2 linked regions of the Callithrix jacchus genome follow. The protein of the gene in region 2 purifies or fractionates together with the protein of the main gene of each other region. This does not show direct contact. Links are inferred from orthologs where the notes say so. Each region holds a gene or a part of one and is shown on either strand. Other genes may lie near its edges.

Region 1 (2,852 bases), on a different chromosome or scaffold from region 2:
TTGGAGGAGGAGCTGGGTGAAGAACTCCAGGGGCAATCTGAAGAGGAGCTGGAGGTGGTGGTACTGCTGGAGCTTGCAAAGCAGTGGTTGGAGGTGGAGGTGGGGGAGGTACTGGAGGGGGAGGAGTTGAAGTCATTGAAGCTCTTAATGAGGAAGTTGACAAGGCAGATGGAAGAGGTGGTGGAGGAGGTGGGGGAGTAGGGCTCACAAACACAGGTGTTCTGCCTGTAGCTGGTGACTGAGGGCGATTTTCTATCAAACCTGTAGCAGAACTGAAATGACAAAGAGATTCTAGCAAGTTATTAAAAGAGAAAAGCCTAAAGAGAAAATCTAACCAAACAAACTATAAACAACTATCAATAATTATATCAGAATAGACCAATTAACATGCTCCTATAGAAATTTAACATTTTCAATAGTGTTTAGGAAAAAAAGAACTAAAAGCACATCAACAAAAAAAATAAATGAGTGGTGCTTTGGTTTGTAGTAGTCTAAATGGTCTCATTCTCTCAAGCAACTTTTGTATTCACTCAGACATTTTATGCTTACTTTGATAAATAAAATGCTCAATTCTATACTGATAGGAATCTCTGTAATGACTCAACATTGATCATAATGCAATTTTGTAGTAATACTTGTGGCCAATACAATGCTGTATTTATACTGAAGCTATTAAGTCTCATCATATGCTATTTCAGTTAAATCAATGACAGCTAATTACAAACCACAAAAAGAAATGTACAGCTCTCTTTCTTCCTAAGGATGGAACATCAAATGAGTCAGTGATAGAAAATTGAATTTTTAACTGAAAATTGTAAAGCTGATCTCTATTATCTCTACTAGAAAATTTCTCAAATATTTCTCCATTAGAAATTTATCATTTGGACAATAACTGACAAGATTAAACTTCAAAATAGCTTTACTGAGAGATTATTATGAGCAATTGCCAGTCCTCTCTAAAATTCTTTACGTATTTTTCTTACTACCAAATTAGTATTAATAATCACATCTTTGGTTCCCATTTCTTAGACCATTACCCATATTGCAAAAAATCCTTAATTTTTCTTAATACACTGCACATGATATGCTTGATAACAACATTATCATAAAATGAAACAGATTTTAAATTCTTATTAGCTAAATTTTCTTATGAGAATGTGTCAGCTCTAATCAGAATATCGCAAATAACGTCCCATAGACCAAATCTGACCTGCTCCCTGTTTTTATAAATAGAATTTAGAAGCAGACACATTCATTTGTTTATGTAGTCTATGGTGGATTTCGTGCAACAATAGCAGAATTTAGTACTTGTGACAGAAACTGTAAGACCTGAAAGCCAAAAATATTATCTTGTCCTTTAAAGAAAAAGGTTCCTGAGTCCTAAGGTAAAACATCATATGCTTTTTCCGACGTACCTGATACAGGTGGGTATGGGTTTCGCATCTCCCGCTCCATGCATTGGTGGAGGAGGAGGTGGTTCATGTGGTCTGACTAATACCCTTTCCTCGGCTCTAGTCAGAAGCTCACTCATCTGACTAAATGGCAAGGCAGAAAGTGAGTAAGATCCATCCATATGATCCACATATGTCTGAGGTCTAAAAGAAATATACAGTATCAGTGAATTTTCCTTGAATTATTGGGGTGAAAAGTGTTTTACATGAGCTATCAAATATTTAAAGTTTATCCTTTCAATGCCAATATTTTAACTATTTTTAAGAAACTTTTAGAAATGTATTATATTAATCCTGCTTTTAAAACAAAGAAAGCTGCTGGCAATGTAACCTACTTGTTGATTTAGAGATTTATTATGATGACCATCAGTTATTTTATTATTTTATAACAGAATACTAATTCAATTCACAGGATGAAAAGTATTACGTATATAATCTAATAAACAAGAAAATAATTAACTTTTAGCAAATTTAGAAAGCTATCTGCCTGTATTTCAGTTTTTTTCTTTACAAGAATATCCAATGACAAAAAGGTAGAATAGGAAAACGAGTTTTCTTCTACTAGTATATCTCGGTGTACTCTTAAAACTTAAATGACTTTCAAAAGTCTTGCACCAGAAAGGTCCCCCTGATATTAGCACCACAGAGGAGGCTAGCTATATTGTTTCTGTCCTTCTGCTGTTTTCAAAGGTACTAGGGTACTCAGAAAATAGCTGAGTAACACAGCAACATGTGACTTAGATGTAAGCAAAATTTTAGACACCTCGAACATGTTAAGATTTACAAATATTTACTGGGAACATGTTCCCAAACATTCTGGGAACAAAGTTGGATTTAACAGATGTGCACAGAGCAAGTCAGAAATTACTGCATTTAGTGGGTCAGATAAATATCTTAATAATCAACTGTAGTAGAAATAAATATGTCTATTTATTAATTTTTTAATGTCAATTATTTCAGTAATACAAATAAATAGTATCTCTCAAATGTATATTTCTCCTAAAATAGGTCAAGTTGTTTCACACTTATGGCCCAGTAATTTACATGTATATTACTTAAAAGAAAACCTTAAGTTATTTTCCATTAAAAAAATCATATGATTAGGCCAGGCACGGTGGCTCATGCATGCAATCCCAGCACTTTGGGAGGCCAAGGCAGGCAGATCACTTGAGGTCATGAGTTCAAGACCAGCCTGGCCAACATGGTGAGACCCCCCCCATCTCTACTAAAAATACAAAACTTAGCTAAGCATGGTGGCTGAGGCAGGAGAATTGCTTGAACCCGGGAGGCAAAGGTTGCAGTGAGCCAAAATCATGCCACTGCACTCCAGCCTGGGTGACAGAGTGAGACTCCAACTCAACAACAACAGCAAAATAATCATATGACTTTACACAAATAAAT
Region 2 (3,656 bases):
AGCACAAAAATTAGCCAGGTGTGGTGGTAAGCACCTGTAATCCCAGCTTCTCGGGAGGCTGAGGCAGGAGAATCGCTTGAACTGGGAGGCAGAGGTTGCAGTGAGCCAAGGCTGCACCATTGCACTCCAAGCCTGGGTGACAGTGCAAGACTCTGTCTCAAAAATAAATAAATAAATAAATAAAATGAACTGCTGATGAGCCAGGCACGGTGGCTTATACCTGTAATCCCAGCATTCTGGGAGGCTGAAGCTGAAGGATCATTTCAGCCCAAGAGTTTGAGACCAGCCAGGGTCTACAAAACCAGCTCTACAAAATTTTTTCAAGATTACCCAGGCATGGTGGTGCACATTTGTGGTCCCAGCTACTCGGGAGGCTGAGGCAGGAGAACTGTTTGAGCCCAGGTGTTCGAGGTTACAGTGAGCTCTGATGTCACCACCACACTCCAGCCTGGACAACAAAGTAAGACGTCCATCTCAAAAAACAAACCAACCCAATTATGTACCTAAGTAGCAAACTGCTAAAATCCAATTTAACTGAAAATTCCTAGCAGTAAATGGTATTTTGAAGTATTTCTTTCTGAGAGGATCATTCTATAACTTACATACATACTTTATATCCCCACCTACCTTTGCACGGACATTTTCAAATGATGCAGGACTCACAAGGGAAAAGCAAATTAAGAACACATCCTACAAAAAGGAAACACAGGGAAACATTTAGACAATGACCTTAGAACAAAGCATGCACTTTGTGTTCTAGATGTTGCTGGGAAGCACTTGTCAGGCAGAGAGCGTGTCTACTATACTAGGTATAGGCGGCTTGGTCAGACGCTCCCTGATCCACCCAATCCACCCTTTCAGTTTGTCAGAGGCTCCCAAACCAACCCAGCATGTCAAGCCACCAGTTACTTATGAAAATGGGGAGTGTGAAGGGAGAATGACATGGGAAGTTCTTCGAGGATAGGGAGGATCAGACCAGACCCCTGGGATGTTTCCTTTCTGCCTATCTAAACAGAAAAAAAATCAAGTATGAAGGTATGCCAACATTTCTGTAAAATCTGCTCTCCTGTTTCCCAAAAGCAGAGTTAATTTTAAAAACAGGATCTGCTGGGCATGGTGGCTCATGCCTGTGATCCCAGCACTTTGGGAGGCCAAGGTGAGTGGATCACAAAGTCAGGCGTTCAAGACCAGCCTGGCCAAGAGGGCAAAACCCTGTCTCTAAATACAAAAATTAGCCAGGCACGGTGGCAGGCACGTGTAATCCCAGCTACTTGGGAGGTTGAGGCAGGAGAATCACTTGAACCCGGGAGGCAGAAGTTGCAGTGAACCGAGATCAAGCCACTGCACTCCAGCCCGTGAGACAGAGCAAAACTCCATCTCCGTGAGACAGAGCAAAACTCCATCTCAAAAAAATAAAATTAGGCTGGGCGCGGTGGCTCAAGCCTGTAATCCCAGCACTTTGGGAGGCCAAGGCACATGGATCACGAGGTCAACATGGTGAAACCCCGTCTCTACTAAAGATACAAAAAATTAGCTGGGCATGGTGGCGCATGCCTGTAATCCCAGCTACTCAGGAGGCTGAGGCGGGAGAATTGCCTGCACCCAGGAGGCGGAGGTTGTGGTGAGCCGAGATTGAGCGCCATTGCACTCCAGCCTGGGTAACAAGAGCGAAACTCCGTCTCAAAAAAAATAAATAAAATAAAATAAAATTTTAAAATAATAATAATAATACAGAATCTACAAAAAAAATCAGGCTCCCCACTGGCATGTCAAGTACAAATGTTTTTAGGTGGTCAATGGTTCAATTCAACTCCTTTGGGAGGTGGCCTGTCACAGTTTCCAGCACCAAGTGGAGGCTCTAATATTTGCTACTCGGGTCCTTCCCTCCACAAGGAAGGAGAGCTTAGTGTGTAACTGGCACCTTCACAGCTGAAAACCATGCTCACACTGCCCTAGTGTCAGCACAGCCAGGGCCTCTGGAGAACTCGCCCCCAGGGCAGCTGTGGCTAAAGCAGAGGCATGAAGAGTGGATGCAGAGGACACAGTGCAGAGTGCTTCTGACCTCCATTCTGTACTTTGTGTCAAATCAAATTCAAATATTTACCTACAAGTAAATTTAAAAACGCCTAAGAATTTCTAAAATGCTAGATTGATCAAATATTCTCCTGGAAAAAGGCAATTATGCTACTTTACGAAATGCATACAATTCCCAAGCCACACTTTCAACCATCCAGCTTTACCTCGTACCTGAAAGGGAAAGAAACATCCCACACAACAGCTTTTTATAACTGGCATTTGAAGAATGCTGGCGCATGCACAAGCTCATCCAAGAATCACCACAGCACCCGGCACACCATCTCAAGCATGGTGGGGTTAGTTAGCTCAGCAGCACCGCACAGCTGCGCCCAGACAGCCCGACCACACGGGACACCGAAGCGGAGAAAGAAGGCCCTGGCAACAAGGTTAGTCCTGCTCTGGCTGCTTCTAAGAGGAGTCTCCACATCTGCATCTCCAACCAGCCAGGAGAGGGGCCCTCTCACCCACTCCTCCTTTCACTTGGGAGGAGGGAAAGATCGCAGTTCACAAACTGCTTTAATTCAAGCCGCTAGGTAAACTGTCACATTCTAATGAAGCTTAGTTCATCAAGCAAAACCCCAACCTTGAGTGAATTAAATATAAAACAATCAAGGAACTTGGGGCTTAATAAGAAATCCTAGGAAAAAGAAGTGAAATGAGAAAACAGAGAAAGCTTGAAACTGAAGTGGACTAAAGTTTTACATACGGCAATCGGCTTGTCTTTGCCCCGGGAGGTTATATCCTTACCGTACGTTTCTCCAACCTAGTAATGCATGAGAACTTGGTTTGAGTTTAGTACAGACTGAGGAAAATAAAAACCAACATACCTCTTACTGATTCATTATTAGAATTGTCTTAATCCTCTGGAGGGATCCAAAAGCATATAATAATCTAACACATCTTCGATGACAAATGCCACCGAAACACTCCATGCTACCTGGTCAAAAGCAGGCATAAGTTCAACAGTGGCTAAGACAGAAGTCAGGCAGATCCTGAGGGGTGCAACAACGTGCTCCTTCTCCCACGGCAGCATCCACCAGACTCTACAACAGCCCACACAGCCAGAGAGGGTTAGCACTGTCCCTTAATGCAAAGGCAGGCAGGAGCCACAGGCACATCTTTCAAGTGCTCCATTGAGTTCTCAGACACAGCCTAGCGGAAGCCACAGCAAACAGAAAAGGTACCTGTCTGTAAATGATGTCTACCCTACAAAGGGTTTCCCCCAGAACATAGCCAGGCCTCAGGGCTGACAATTTTAATGCTGCCAGATCATTTCAAGTCTCCTATGCAGAAATGTTCCTATCTTCCAACTAGTTCTGGAAGTGTGGTTTGAATTCACAGACTTGCATTATCAAAATCAACACTGTTGCTGACACTAAGACCTCCAATTCAGGGCCCCTTTGCAGGTCTGGGGGAAGCCACGCCTTAAAGACAAGTTTTTTTGTTTTTTGAAATGGAGTCTGGCTCTGTTGCCCAGGCTGGAGTGCGATGGCACAATCTCGGCTCACTGCAACCTCCACCACCCAGGTTCGAGTGATTCTCCTGCCTCAGCCTCCCAAGTAGCTGGGACTACAGGAGCA

The links. Proteins that work in one complex are often made in the same cells at the same time.
Region 1: the proteins of RAC1 (region 2) and WASF1 purify together in Homo sapiens (affinity purification with western blotting; 3 studies listed by BioGRID and IntAct, with this or other methods). This does not show direct contact. The link is inferred for Callithrix jacchus from reciprocal best matches to the Homo sapiens genes RAC1 and WASF1.

The regions. Positions count from the first base shown.
Region 1 is NC_133505.1:116,273,850-116,276,701, forward strand, and holds part of WASF1 (actin-binding protein WASF1), read right to left. Parts: intron 1,596-2,852; coding exon 1,416-1,595; intron 273-1,415; coding exon 1-272.
Region 2 is NC_133503.1:16,134,955-16,138,610, reverse strand, and holds part of RAC1 (ras-related C3 botulinum toxin substrate 1), read right to left. Parts: intron 2,840-3,656; coding exon 2,783-2,839; intron 691-2,782; coding exon 628-690; intron 1-627. UniProt on the Homo sapiens protein: Plasma membrane-associated small GTPase which cycles between active GTP-bound and inactive GDP-bound states.